3 linked regions of the Drosophila melanogaster genome follow. The protein of the gene in region 2 interacts with the protein of the main gene of each other region in a pairwise test. Each region holds a gene or a part of one and is shown on either strand. Other genes may lie near its edges.

Evidence for each region.
Region 1: the proteins of CG11350 (region 2) and Stam interact in a two-hybrid assay, tested with the Drosophila melanogaster proteins (one large-scale study listed by BioGRID).
Region 3: the proteins of CG11350 (region 2) and CG7655 interact in a two-hybrid assay, tested with the Drosophila melanogaster proteins (one large-scale study listed by BioGRID).

The regions. Positions count from the first base shown.
Region 1 is NT_033779.5:10,856,759-10,863,096, forward strand, and holds Stam (signal transducing adaptor molecule), read left to right. Parts: upstream 1-1,777; 5' UTR 1,778-2,076; coding exon 2,077-2,119; intron 2,120-2,611; coding exon 2,612-2,889; intron 2,890-2,948; coding exon 2,949-4,152; intron 4,153-4,218; coding exon 4,219-4,763; 3' UTR 4,764-5,248; downstream 5,249-6,338. Other genes in the region: aurB (aurora B), read right to left, coding at 115-252, 313-1,030, 1,086-1,219.
Region 2 is NT_037436.4:4,480,478-4,485,546, forward strand, and holds CG11350 (uncharacterized protein), read left to right. Parts: upstream 1-2,331; 5' UTR 2,332-2,366; coding exon 2,367-2,369; intron 2,370-2,434; coding exon 2,435-3,802; 3' UTR 3,803-3,893; downstream 3,894-5,069. Other genes in the region: CG7465 (uncharacterized protein), read left to right, coding at 1-898; CG13722 (uncharacterized protein), read right to left, coding at 4,932-5,069.
Region 3 is NT_033777.3:17,680,846-17,684,863, reverse strand, and holds CG7655 (uncharacterized protein), read right to left. Parts: upstream 2,196-4,018; 5' UTR 2,076-2,195; coding exon 1,749-2,075; intron 1,690-1,748; coding exon 1,255-1,689; 3' UTR 1,091-1,254; downstream 1-1,090. Other genes in the region: CG31251 (uncharacterized protein), read left to right, coding at 19-119, 177-709, 769-1,055.

The DNA of each region.
Region 1 (6,338 bases), on a different chromosome or scaffold from region 2:
CAGTTTTCAGATTTCAAAAATATACTCCAAACTTCATTAAATCTTATAAACCGTTTATTAAACATAAAAGTAAAATCTGAAATAAGTCGTTACACAATGCAAACTCGAAACCAGTCAATTTCTGGCCGTGTTCTCCTTGCCGCGCTCCCGTTTCTGCAGCTGCAGCTCCCTTTCGGCCATTCCCGCCTTCACCCAATAATGGGTCATCACATCCACCAAGGTGATGCGGCCCTTGCTTTCCTTGCGAAGCAGCTGCAAAGATGAAATCCCTGTTCAATAAATGGATCTCAAAGGAAACATCTTCCAACTCACCCCGCCAATCAATTCCTTGCAGCCCTTGGACAAATGCGATGGGTAGGAGATCTCCATGCGCCGGATCTTGCTGTAGGTGCTCTCCGTGCTGTTCGACTCGAAGGGCGGACAGCCGACGACGAACTCGTAGCACAGAATGCCCAGGCACCACTGGTCCACCGAGTCGTCGTAGGAGTTCCCATCCACCATCTCCGGCGGCAGATAGTCCAGGGTGCCGCACAGAGTCCTGCGCTTGTTGTTCGGCGTGTGCGCCGACCAACCAAAGTCGGCCAGCTTAAGGTCGTCCGTGCTGGTTAGCAGAATGTTCTCCGGCTTCAGATCCCGATGGATCACGTTGTTCAGGTGACAGTAGTTGAGGGCATTCGCCACTTGGTAGGTGTACTTCGCAGACCGCGGTTCATCGAATCGATGATTGGGTGCGCCACGCAGGTGCTTGAACAGCTCGCCCTCGGACGCAATTTCCAGGGCCAGATAGATGCGGCTCTCGTCGTGGAACCAAGTGAGCAGGCGCAGGATGTGCGGGTGCTTCAGTCGCGACTGGATCTCGATCTCGCGTAGAACCTGACGCTGCACGCAGCCCTTGCGCAGCTCCTCTTTGAACATCACCTTCATGGCCACCAGATAGTGCGAGTGGCGCTCCCGCGCCAAGTAGACACGTCCAAATTTGCCGCGTCCCAAGTGGGCGCCCATCTCAAAGTCCCGGGGACTCCAATCGTATCTGGAGGGAGCAGATTAAGTACGGATTGATACATTAGCTTATTGCTTGTACGTACGGCTGTCCGTATGCGTCGTGGGACATCATCTTGAGGCACATATTCTTGATCGGCTCCTGGTGCTCCTCGGGCACCTTGGCCAGCAGGTGCGGCAGGTGGTTGCGGTTGGCGTGCTTCGCGCGGGAAAGCGTCATGGCGCTGACTTGTTTATAATATTATGATTTTTAAGTAAATTAATTATTTTAAGTTGTATTTTCTATAAGCGTCCCTTTTGTTTGCGCGTTTTTTTCGAATGCTGAGATTAGTGTGACCGCATGCTAGAATCGAGTTATTCTGTGACTCTCAGTGAAGCAGTTAAGTCACTGTATTTTTAAATTCGGTCAACGTATAATAAAATATTTTCATGTTTCTTAAATAAAAATTAATCTTCTAGTTTTGTTCTTATATTGTGCATAGTTATTATAATATACGCTTCTCACCCGTAGGAGAATAGTTTGAGTGAAGGGCATAGAAAACTGTTTAATTATTATAAACCATAGCTACCAGTGCTCAAATCATATCAGATGTTTAATAGATTTATATTATTAGTTGTCTAAATTTATTTAAATATACAATATCAATAATATTTATATGTATATATAAATAAAAATGTTTTGCATAATATAAGTCTCGAATACCTCTAACTAACCATTGAAAATGAGCTGCAAAAAATCCTTTGGATTTCCCGACTATTCGCAATCTGGCCACACTCGCCATTAGTCATTTTTTACACAATAAACGTAAATTAAGCGAATTTGCAAGCGCTATTCGGAAGTTTTTAGGCTAATCGAAAAGATATAAGCAGCCCAAAAGAGATTTGGAAAAAAGCGAAAAGGTCTACGCAGGAGGAAGTACACCAAAAGCGTGCTTTCAGTCGCCGTGACGCACCGAAAATCGATTGGAGAGGAAAAACAATAGGGAAAACAGACAAAGATCAACTGATTTGGATTTATTGACCCCAGGGCAGCGCAGATTATTGGCAGATAGCCGAGCGAGCGGTTTGGTCATAAAGATGGGAATCTTTGGGCAGTCGTCGCCATTCGACGCCGACGTGGGTGAGTTACCACTTATCGTTAAGCTGTTGTGTTGGCCGATTGGACAAGCCGATGTTCCAATTGGACTGCACAACGGTCCAATATGCGTTTCATAGTTTTCTATTCTTATCTGGGGTCTAAAAACCCGCACACCACACCATTTTCCCCTGTTTTCCCTATGAACCCGATCCCCCGATTGAGCAGACAACAAAGAAAGTCATGTGAGATGCTGTGCGCAGCTCTGCGTCGTTCGTTGAACTTCTTATTGGAGTTGTTAGATGGCAGTCGCTGACCTTGAGTGACGTAGCACCCGCAGCCCCTCACACCCCCTCCGTTTACGCAGCCAACCCCCTCGCCATCCCTTAATGCAATTTAGTTAGTTTCCGATTGTATTGATTTTCTTTAGCTGCAATCAGTTTTCGAAGAAGCTTATCTTTGTTTTGCTGTGACTCAGAATATAAATTTCTATTTGACTGATAAGCTAATGCGGTTCATGCCTTTCTTGTTTTATAGAAAAGGCCACCAGCGAAACTAATACCAACGACAACTGGTCTCTGATTTTGGATGTATGCGACAAGGTAACGACCAATCCCCGCCTGGCCAAGGATTGCCTGAAGGCGGTGATGCGCCGCATGGGCCACACCGATCCTCATGTGGTGATGCAGGCGATTACGCTTTTGGACGCCCTGTCCAACAACTGCGGAAAACCGCTCCATTTGGAGGTGGCTTCACGGGATTTCGAGACGGAGTTCCGCCGCCTGTTGGCCAAAGCACAGCCAAAGGTTTCACTGGTGAGTACAAACAGTTTTAACTCACTTATTTCATTTCTAATTCCAATTATGATTCACAGAAAATGCGCCAAGTGCTGAAGAACTGGGCTGAAAACGACTATAAGAACGATCGAGAGCTCGACTTGATACCCGCACTCTATGCCAAGCTGCGCCAAGAGGGATATGATTTCAAGAATCTTGGCGATAAGACTAGCAAGACTGTTGCCGAAAAGGCCGCCGCCCTGCCCAAAGATCCGAATGTGGTCAGCAGCCAGCAGGAAGAGGATGACATCGCCAAGGCCATCGAATTGTCGCTGAAGGAGAACAAGGGCAGTCCAAAGACTGGGAGTGTAGCAAGTACCGGCACCGCCAGTGCCTATCCCTCATTGTATCCATCTTTCGCTGGAACCGGCTCGAGTGCACCGAGCGCCGAAGCCAGTTCCGCACCAGCGCCAGAGCCGAGAAAGGTTCGAGCTCTGTACGATTTCGAAGCTGCCGAGGAAAACGAATTGACCTTCTTTGCCGGCGAGATCATTCATGTGCTGGATGATAGTGATCCAAACTGGTGGAAGGGATACAATCAACGCGGCGAGGGTCTCTTCCCCTCGAACTTTGTCACTGCCGATCTGTCCGTCGATCCCGAGCGGCTGGACATCAATCAGCAGCATAAGTCGGCCGCCGCAGCCGGGCAACGAGAGTTGGATTCCGCTGCGGCACTGCAGCAAAAGACTGAAGCGGCAGCAGCTGCCGCCGCAGCTCAGCCTGTGGAGATCGACGAGTCAAAGATCGACCGGCTGCTGCATTTGCTGCACGAGGCGAATCCCGAAGATCCCTCGCAGGACAGCGACGAAATGCTGCAGCTGGAGCAGGAGGTCCATCAGATGGGACCGCTGATCGATGCCGAGCTGGAACGCGTCGACCGCAAGCACGCTCAACTGACGCAGTTGTCCAGCGACCTCGTCGACGCCATTAATCTGTACCATACCTTGATGCGGGATGACCGTGCTGCGGCTGGACATTTTGCCGCCGCTGCTGGCGGCTTTATGCCTGGACTTGCTGGTTTCCCGGGTGCCGCTCTGTACGGTGCTCCAGGTTATCCTGCAGCGGGTGGATTCCCACCGGCCCAAAATTATCCGGGCATGCACTCGATGCCATATGGCCCCGTACCAAATCCTCCCACTTCTGCTCCATCTCAGGCACCTGGAGCTCCTGGTGGCTATCTGGGTCAACCGCAGGGGCAGGTGCCACTGCCCTATCAGAACGGACATGCCGCACAGATGAACTGTTAGTACAAAGGATTAAAATACTTATTATATTTACCTATAATAACATTTTCAATCGTCTTTCCAGCGCTGCCAGCCCATTTGACTCAACCCACTGGCACTGCACCCATGCCCCAGCCAATCTACACTCAGCCGACTCCCGTGACCACCCAACAGCAGCAGCAGCCACTTCCACAGCACCCTCAACAGCCGCCACAGCAGCAAGGCCAGCAGCCCCCACAGCATCCCCAGAACAGCTACCACATCGACCCCCAGTCACAGTACGCCCAAGTTCCGCCCGCAGTCACACAAATCCAGCAGCCGCAGCAGCCACCGGCTCCGCACGCTTACATGTCGCCGCAGCATCAGCAGGCACCGCCACCACAGGGATACCAGCCAGGACCAAATCTTTATGGACCGAACGGATCGCCGGCCGTCGTCAACCCGCAGAGCTACATGTCCCCACAGCAGCAGCAGCAACAACACCCACCACCACACGATCAGTTTAGTCAGCTGCATCAGCAGATGGCCGCCATGTCCATGGCTGGCGGACCGCCAGTTGGGGCGCCCGGCTATCACATGCAGAACGATGCTGTCAAGAACAACATTCCTATCTACCAGCAGCAGCGGTAAGACCGCTGCACTAAAACAGAGACCTTCACTTGGTTCGCTTTGAATTGCCCGAGCAACTTTAAGCTTTGTCTTCATTCTGACAAAAGGATGTCATCGAGTATGTTAGTTTTGGCCAACTTGCCGAGAAACGGAAGTTGTCAAATCTCTGCTATGTACATTTTGAGAAGAGCAATTGTCAGTGAACCAAATATGTCGACTATCCTTTAAAATAACGAAAGAAGCCAAATTAATATCAAGTATACCCTTACGAGTTTTCGTTTTTTGTGTTTATATTTGGTCCAACGAAATGATATATTTTTCTGGAAGTAAGGCAATACCAGTCGAAAAAGATATATATACCATATAAATAATCTGTATTCAACAGCACGTATAACTTTGTATTTAGTGCAGGGGAGATAACTATTATGTATTATGTTTATTGTACGGATTATGATAAATCTAACGAAACGAATCACATTCATTAAAATCATAAAAATATACTAAGTAAACACAATGTCTTTGAAAATTGCAAGTCAAAAGCTTACGGCTACCCTTCTCAAATATTTTCAGCACTAGCAATCGATGTGGAATAATTTTCAAGAAAATTTTGGAAATCAGATGAAGTTTTTAGAAATTTTTTTAGTGATAAAGAAAGCAGATTATTTGTTTATTTCTCACTTGAATTGTTTGTTTATTTTTATGATATTTATTTAAATTTTCTTATCGATGCTATAAAACATGAAGGTAAAATTCTTTATGTAGGCTTCAGAAAGAGTAATCTGCATTGCTTTATAAACTGAAACAATTCAGCACGAGTTTTGGATTCGCACCCCTTTTAAACTTAACATGCTTAGAGCTCCATTCAACTGCGCTCATCCCCTTTTCGGAGAATACCTCCCTCCGCTCGTGTTAGTGCGCTTTTCCGATGAGATTCCAATATATTCAGACAAGCTTTGCCACATGCCACTGTCTCGCAATCCGGCAAACATGCAACAATTTAGCAAAATTCCATCCGGCATTCGGTGGCACAAATATCCTGTGAAATAAACTGTCAAAACGGGGCAGACAGACAGTATCTCAGCCTGGTAAATAGAAAATGCCAATGAATGCGGAGTGTCACCTGGAGTGAAAGAACGACGAGCCAGGAGACGGGCGAGAGCAGGCTATGCAAATATTTGCTGATTGTTGATTTCTATGGGCTGGCAAGTGGGTGGTTGTGGGTGGTGTTGTCTAGCTGCAAAAATGTCAACAAATGCATAGGTATTTTTTAAATTAATTGATTTTGCTGGCCTTGCACGCTTACATCGAATGGGCTGGGAAACGGGAAAATTTGGGCGAACTGGCTGGGGTCGTGGGAAAATCCTGCCCAGCCGAACACCTGAACCTTGTTCGTCCTGTGCCCTTTTTTTTTTTTTTTTTTATTATTTGACTTACGGTAGGAAAATTAAAATCTTCTAAAGATACCACCTACCGTCCGTAGGTGGCATGCACGATTCATAAGCCCTATTGGAATTATGCCTACGTACTAAAACAAAAACCTCCGCGTGCTCTACAGTCCTTGCTCGCTCACCGGGACTGCCAGTCAAGGTATGACTT
Region 2 (5,069 bases):
CAACGAGTACCTGCCTCCCGTCCAGGAGCAGCAGATCATCGCCGGACCCAGCAACGAGTACCTGCCTCCCGTGCAGGCCGAGTCTGCCCCCGCCCATGAGCTGGCCGATGATGGCTACCGGTACAAGACCCACAAGCGCGTGGTGGTCCGCCGCCACCGCCGTGACGTCAACGAGCTCTTCAACGAGTACCTGCCCCCCTTCGCAGCTCCTTCCAACGAGTACCTGGCTCCTGCTGAGGGTGCTCCTGAGACCATCTTGGCCGATGATGGATACCGTTACAAGACCCACAAGCGCGTGGTAACCCGCCGTCACCGTCGTGATGTGAGCCACTTGCCCTCCAACGAGTACCTGCCCCCAGTCCAGGCTGCTGCTCCTTCCAACGAGTATCTGCCCCCAGTGTCCGCCCCCGTCCAGGTTGCTGCCCCAGCTCCCGCTCCAGTTCAGATCGCCGCCCCTGTCCAGCTGGCCGCCCCCGCTCCTGTCGTGGTTGAGGCTGAGCCCGCCCATGAGCTGGCCGATGACGGTTACCGTTACAAGACCCATCGTCGCGTTGTTTACCGCCGCCACCGCCGTGACGTCAACGAGCTCTCCAACGAGTACCTGCCCCCCTTCGCAGCTCCTTCCAACGAGTACCTGGCTCCCGCTGAGACTGCTCCTGAGACCGACTTGGCCGTTGATGGATACCGCTACAAGACCCACAAGCGCGTGGTAACCCGCCGTCACCGTCGTGATGTGAACGAGCTCTCCAACGAGTACTTGCCTCCCGTGCAGTCTGCTCCCTCTGCCGAGTACCTTGCCCCCCAGGAAAACACCGTCGAGGCGGCTCCCGCCCATGTCCTGGCTGATGATGGATACGTCTACAAGACCCACAAGCGCGTTGTGTTGCGCCGCCACTAAATCATCCGATAAAGGCTTCACTAGGTGATCGAATTGTGCTCATTTTTGAGTGCAGACCCTACTATTAGAATACCTCTTTTTCATTCAAATACAATAATACGATAACGAATCCATACATTCAGCTCTTTTTAATTTTATTATGTTGGGTGTACGAGCTGGGTGATAAAAGGTTATATGTATAGAATTGACTGAAGGAGGAATATATTCGGATAAAACATAAATCTTTGCGGATAATATATAAACCAGAGAATAATAAAAAACGACAAAGTTTTTAAACATGTATTAACCTATTTAAAAATAATAATTTAATGTAATAATATAAAAAGGTTTTAGGGCTAGAATATATTCATTATTTCACGATCTAATTATACACATAAGAACGTGGGATTAGAGAAGCAATATACACTTGACACATAATCGAAATTGAAATCTATTTATGCCGAAGCTTCCGCAATCTCATCTTCAAAAAGTTCAAGCCTGCTTAACGCTTTTAGACCATTTACCTACAAAAGTAAGGGTATGTTAACTTTCTTGGATGGTGTGTCTTTTTAATATGCCGTTATTAATTTAATAGGTTTTTATGACCTAAACGCTTATGTAATTTATTAAAATGTTATTTTATAGTGGATATATTATTTATATACGATTTGCAATTAAATATAGAAACGTTTTGTTAGCAGAATCTAGTTCGAGGAATAGAATTAATTACCCCGTTTTATTAATGTTTTCCTTCGACTCTTCATAAAAGGTAATTTTTCCAAAAGTGTATTCAGTTCATTTTGTTCAGGTTTTCTTTCAGCCGGTGATATACAATCGCTTTCGACAGTCACATCTATGTATTGTTTCGGCATTGAGGTCGTGATTTATTTCCGCAATTTGATTGCTTTTTCGGCAGTCATTTCGCTTCTTACCAACTGTTTTTAGCCTTTTCTCCGCTCCGCTATCGAACATCTGCTTTTATTACCCGAAGTCATAGAACCCGATTAGTACCAGTTGATTAAGCCACAATATAATTATCGACAATTAAGCAAATTGAGCTGGGGTGGGTCGGAATTGGGAATCGAAATTGGCACGCGTTTGGTCTGGGAGAAATTGGCAAGTGCGGATAGGGGAACAATGGAACCTGATCTTGGCCACTAAGTATTAACGAAATATACTTAAAATATTAAGTGGCCGTTTGGATGATTTGGCGGTTAGGCCGGGGGTGAAAGGGGGACTCCCAAATCGTGGCTCATGATCTCGCTGGAGTTGAGCAGAGCGCAAAACCCGTTGCAAACCTGCTTGCAAAACTATAATGGATATGTTTTGGCGGTGTCACTAAATACAAATTCATAAATTAAATAGTCAAATGCAAATTTCTCGCCGCAGGCCGGTGATTAGAATCATATAAATAAGCCGCAGAACATTGTCTAAGGCATCACTTCCACTTGCACTCTCCGTTCAACTGGACAGCCGAGCACCCAGCAAAATGGTATTAACCAGGAACGGTGCGCCATTAGGATAATCAGCTAATATGTGCCATTTTCTCCATTGCAGAAATTCTTCTTGTTCTGCGCCTTCATCGCCGCCGTGGCCGCTGATGTCAGCCACCTGCCATCTAGCCAGTACCTGCCCCCCGGCCGTGGAGCAGCATCGGCTCCCGTGGCTTCCTACTCTGCTCCTTCCCAGAGCTACAGCGTAGAGGCCTCGGCCCCAGTTGCCTCCTACTCTGCTCCCGTTGAGTCCAGCTACTCCGTTGCTGCTTCTGCTCCAGCGGTGTCTTATGCTGCTCCAGCTGTGTCCTACGCCGCTCCCGCCCAGAGCTACTCTGCTCCTGCTGCCACCTACACTGCTGCTGCTTCTGCCCCAGCTGTGTCCTACGCCGCTCCTGCCCAAAGCTACTCTGCTCCTGCTGCCACCTACACTGCTGCTGCTTCTGCCCCAGCTGTGTCCTACGCCGCTCCTGCCCAGAGCTACTCTGCTCCTGCTGCCACCTACACTGCTGCTGCTTCTGCCCCAGCTGTGACCTACGCTGCTCCTGCTCAGACCTACACCGCTGCCGCTTCCGCCCCAGCTGTGTCCTACTCCGCTCCCGCTGAGTCTTACGAGACCGCTGCCTCTGAGCCCGCCCACACCTTCTCGGCCAACGATGGATACCGCTACAAGACCCACAAGCGCGTGGTCCTTCGCCGTCATCGTCGTGGCGTGCCCTCCAACGACTACCTGCCCCCCTTCCAGGGAGCCGCTTCTGCCCCAACCAGTGAGTACCTGCCCCCAGCAGCTTCCGCCCCCGCTCCAGTCTACCAGAGCGCTGCCTCTGCCCCAGCTGTGTCCTACGCCGCTCCCGCCCAGACCTATTCCGCACCTGCTGTCTCCTACGCCGAGCCCGCCGAGAGCTACGAAACCGCTGCTTCTGCTCCTGCCCACTCCTTCTCCTCCAACGATGGATACCGCTACAAGACCCACAAGCGTGTGGTGCTCCGCCGTCACCGTCGTGATGTGAGCCACCTGCCTTCCAACGATTACCTGCCTCCAGCAGCCTCTGCCCCAGCTCCAGTGTACTCCGCCCCCGCTCAGAGCTACTCTGCTCCCGCTGCCACCTACACCGCTGCTGCCTCCGCCCCAGCTGTGTCCTACGCCGCACCTGCCCAGAGCTACTCTGCTCCTGCTGCCACCTACACCGCTGCTGCTTCCGCTCCAGCTGTCTCCTACTCTGCTCCCTCTCAGAGCTACTCTGCTCCCGAGTACTACAGCGGTGCCGCTTCCGCCCCAGCTGTCTCCTACTCCGCCCCAGCTGCTTCCTACTCTGCCCCAGCTGAGAGCTACGAGACCGCCGCCTCTGAGCCCGCCCACTCCTTCTCCTCCAACGATGGATACCGCTACAAGACCCAGCGTCGCGTGGTCCTCCGCCGTCACCGTTACTAGAGGCTCCAACGAACCCCCAGCGAACCGAGCCAAATCCTGTTATTTGACTCACGGGTTTCATCTGGGAAACGAAATTAATAAATTCATAAATAAAAAAAATATTGAAAAATACTTCCACTGCCTGATTAATTAATCGACTAACAGGAAACCCCATTGACGGGAGCCCCCTTATTTGCCTAACAATAATATTGCATAATAGAATAAGAAGTTTTGGCCACTAAAGCCAATGATTATCAGGCATTAATACCGAGCTGTCGTCAAGCGGAGACGATACAGCAACTGAAAAAACTAGTTCAAATCGAGATGCGGAAACTCGTTTAATGCTTCGAAATTAATTTTTTGTTCAGCAAGTGCATTGTCATCTGAAGCTTCAAGTTCAAAGTCAACCATAAGAAAATTCGAGGCATACTTTTTGGCCTTTGTAAGATTTATATGGATGTAGTAAGCATATAGTAAGTGTATATTTATGTAGTAAGTCCCTCGCGGCAGACTACAGAGTTAAAAAAAACCCAGTGAATTATGGATCTATTTTGTAAGGCAGACTTATTAAAAAATTTATCTTAGTAATATAAAAAGCCTCAATGTATAGCATTATATCCGTATCACAGAAAGACTTTTGTTATTCCGGCTAAAAAATAGCAGGTTGAATGATTCCAATGCTATCGCGTTACCGAAGTTTGAGCAGAATTATTAATTTCTTGTTGCCCAAATGTACTCTACTTTTCGGCAAGCCAGCACTATAAACTGCGATGTCTAAAAGTATGTGATTCGACCGAATTTTTAGTTTATTCTAGATGGGATCTGCTGTTTCACTCTAAGACTAGACGTCTTACCCTTCGACACACTGAAAGAAAACAGTAAGAACATAACATTCACATTGTCATTTTTAATTCGGCAGCATTGCGTAATCGTTAAAACATAAGTTTTAAAAACATATTTTAATGACTAAGTTCGATTGGAGATTCCGCAGGCAAGATCCCCGGTAAATCATTAATAATAGTTATTAAATAAAATATTACAGTAGACTACAATTATTCAATTTCGTACGTTCCTAAGGATCACTATGCGCACACAGAGGCAATTGTGTCATTTAATCAGTGATGAGAGGGCCAATCGACGGATGAGTTATTCAAAAGTCGAATGCGATGGCCGGCTTCGGGTAGGAATAGCCCGCCGACTTGGGAGCGGGTGGGGGAAATGGAATGACTGGCTTAGGGTAGTCGTAACCCTGCTTCACCTGAGGGGGTGGAAGGTACTTGGGAGTGGG
Region 3 (4,018 bases), on a different chromosome or scaffold from region 2:
GTTACTATTCTTACAAAAATGGACTTTCAGCGAAACGATGCTATGCTCATGGAAATTCTGCAGGATCGGAAAACTATTACAGGTTTCCTGGACTCCATTTTCGGATTTCTGCGACGCAAGTAAAAGATTTTATCTCAAGATCCTTAACAAAACTGTAGTCCCACTTCCCTTTTTAGCACCGACTTTTATCACACAAAACGCGATGAAGCGGATAAAATAGGCTTCCCCAAAGGCGTGAGGGATCAGATTCTATATGGCGCCATGCAGCGCTACGATCCGGATTGCTTGCTACAATCCCTGACCGCGGAAGGCGGTGCAGATGATGGAGAAACGGCTCCGCCTGCCGTCGAAGAAGTGGTCCTGGAAAGCGAAGATGGTCCTCAGGACGAGGAAATGAAACCCATAGAGAGCCAGCCGCCACAAAAAGGGAAGGAGCAGTCAAAGTTCTCCCCCAGCGACTACAAAAACGGAGATGTGTTCGAAACGCACTGCTGGTCACAAACCCTCAAGGATGTGGAGGTGCAGGCTCTGCTTCCCAAGGATCATCAAACGGCGAAGAAGCTGCACATTTCAATTCAGGCCCAGCACATCAAAGTGAGCAGCAAGCATAGCCCAGAGACGATCATCCTCGAGGGAAACCTGAGCCAGCGGATTAAACACAAGGAGGCGGTGTGGACAATTGATCAGAACCGATTGATCATAAGTTACGGTGGGCATTCACCTAAAACATCTTTATAAACCATTTTCATAAACTGTATATAACTGTAGATAAAGCAAAGGAGCTCTGGTGGGATCGGCTCTTCGAAGGTGATCCAGAAATCGATTCCAAGAAGATTGAATGCGAACGCTATATAGATGATTTGCCGGAGGAAACCCAGGCCACCATAGAAAAGCTTAGGGTCCAGCAGTTGGCAGCAGACAAGCAACAAAATGAAATTCAGACCTCAAGTCCCGACCAAGCTATAAACCTGGATCGCCTGAAAGCTGCCTGGGATGCCGAAGGTTCGCCGTTTAAAGGACAGCCCTTTGATCCTTCTATCGTAAGAATGAGTTAAATTTTAAAATAATTAATTAAGCTAGCAATAGTAGTAAAATAGTAAAAACTGAACCATATATATTTTTATATATCTTTTAGTTTTTTCATTATTTGTTTCGTTCTGATTCGGAAACTGAAATTGTTAGAAAAGTATTATTCAATACAAACTCATGTCAACTTACAACTAGATCTTAGTAAGAACACTTTTGAGATTAAGTTTACTTGGCCTTCAGTTCGAGTTTCTTGCGCTGCAGTTGAATCTTCTGATAGGCCACATCCTTCTGATCTGTGGACCAGGCCAGGTACATGTAGGTGGTCAGCAGCAAGGCCATGACTAGCCGATCCACGCTCATCACATTCGTGGCGAACAGGATGACCGACAGGCCCACAAACGAGGGATGTCTGACATGGGCGTACAGATTGCGCAATTCCCCGGATTTGTAGCTGATGGGCGGTCCGTAGGCCTTCAGATCGTAGTAGGCTTGCTTGACGCCCAGCAGCTCTGGCAGATCCATCACCAAACTGCCGCCAAAGATGACAACCCAGCAGATGCCATGGGTGATCACGAAGGTCCACCAAAGCGGAGCACTCTGCTCCACATCGATTTGCCACAGAACAATCGACTGAGCGGGCAGCCAGTTGACGATCAAATACTGAAATGTCCAAAGTTGCAGTTGGGAGCTATTTCTGTCCAATTTGTGGGTATACAAACATGTAAACAAAGCGATGACGTCAGGCTATAAATAGTGCGCTCCGCACCCGACAATCCCAACTTGGCCAACAGCTTCTTGACCACGGCTGACTTGAGGAAGCTGTGCTGGAAGATGAATCCGATCAGGTAGAGGGTATCGAACACCACGGGTCCATAGGCGGTCTGCAGGCGCGACTTGTTGTCCAGTAAATTGAAAATCCAGGTGTGCGCCTTGGAAATCGAACGAGGCGTCGAAAGGAACATCATCAGGCTGCCAACCACGTACAGGGAGTAAGCGAACGTGGCCAGGGATGCCAATAGTACTATGGACTTGGCAATCGATGTCATTTTTGTCAGGAAAATTGAGAAAATAGCTTGTTATTTCGAGATAATCAAAACAAATTCAATGAACGTTTCGGTGAGCTAATCAGTGCGACCATGGCACAGTCGCGATAAAATCTTCGGTGAAGAATTTCAATTTGGTTTGTGTCCACGATAAAAACATCGCTCTCCCCACGTAGCGTGTCTCGGCTACAAAAACATAGCGCATTTATCCGGCGGCTTGAGTCATCGCTAGTTGTCCAAATTTAGGACTATTATGTGACTGGCGCGATTTTTGGAGTATGTCGCCACGGTCACTCTGTTTGCAAATGTTTCAATTTTCCCACTAACGAAAAAGTGTAAGTCCGCAGCCGAAAGGCATAAGAAAGTTGAGAAAAAGTTTAACAGTTGCAAGTAAGAACTGGTTTGATAAAGCGTATCTAAATCCAAGCAAAGTGATGAAAAAACTGTCGACGCGACAACCCAACACACACACACACTCAAACAGGCGCAGCGCTCCGGCACACATACACAAGTGGCTTGCAAATGGCGGATGCGTTTCCAACAAAAAGAAAAGAAGAAGGAAAAGAAAGACTGCATTGTAAATGTGAAATGTTGTGAAAATTGTTGACGTTGCAAGTGGCTTAAAATCGGCTGAAAATCAGCGTTAGAAGTATAGAGACTGGAGATAAGAAGGGGAGAGCGGTGTACATGTATGTGTGTAAGTGCAGTGCGACGCCCTTTTGTCTTGAGAGGAAAAAGGAAGCCACTACTTTATTTATCGGTGTGCAATTATTCAAGGTGCCAATTAGTAGTCGACACACTTTCACTGCTCCCCATTGCTTAATTATGAGCAAAGGGGACAGCTGACTGCTTTGATTTGCCAAAAATCTCGGGCGCCGCCGTCTGGCCGGGGCCCTGCCCCCGCCCTTTCCCATTTGTTGTTCGCTGATTTTATCAAAGAAAAAGACAAGAAATGAGCATAATTGATGCGCTGACCTCACCACACACACACACATAAGCATATGCGGGCTTATCAAAGGAGCGAGAGCGGAGCAGAGCTCAAAAGAGAGAGCGGAGCAGAGCAGCTGCAGTCCAATAAATCATAGACTCAAAAATCGTTCGTCATCGGGGAAAACCAATTGACAATCAACAAATGCTATCGACGTCTACGTCAGCAATCAATAATCATTAACCGCCAGCTTTAGACAATATCAATTTGCCTATTTATAGCCTTTATGAGTCACTCCACATTTTAGACCAACCTTCCATCTGTGGACCAAAAGAAAAAATTAGGGAAACGAACTTGGAACCTGACGCTCCCACGCAGGAATAACAAGAAGACACCACACACCGCAAAAAACATGCCACGCTTTCTTTCCCACAGAGATAAATAAAGCAGCATTGCATGTTGCATAAATATTACGGGAGAAAAAGACGAAAAGTAGGGAGCAGTGCTTTCTAAAATTAAAACTCTTGAGCCGCTGAAAATAGCAGGGGCAAAAAATGCATTTATGAATAAATAGATGAAAAATAATGAATGAGTGCGAGTACGCTCTCGCTCAGCGGTGACAGAGAGAGCGAGGAAAGCACTTGCACCGTTATCAGTGATGCTGCTGCGAAAGCAAGCTAGTAAAAGTATAATTTCAAATTATTTTTTTATGAAAGAACAAAAATAATATAAAATGGAGAACCCGGTTAAATTTTAGATAGATTGGAAGTTTTCAGTTTTAAGAAGTTATTAGGATATGTAAGTTGATTATGAAAAACAATTTTTTTTTAGAAACAAATCTAGACATTTATAATTCGCATAAGGACTTTAATAATTATACACAGTTACGAGGATCAATAACTTTTTTATTTCCATTTGAAGAGATGTAATCGCATTGGCGAATACTTGACCCACTTCAAACACGCTGCCTTCAAAGGCCAGAAAATGGTCAACTTGGCATTTCTGGCCGGGGCTCACC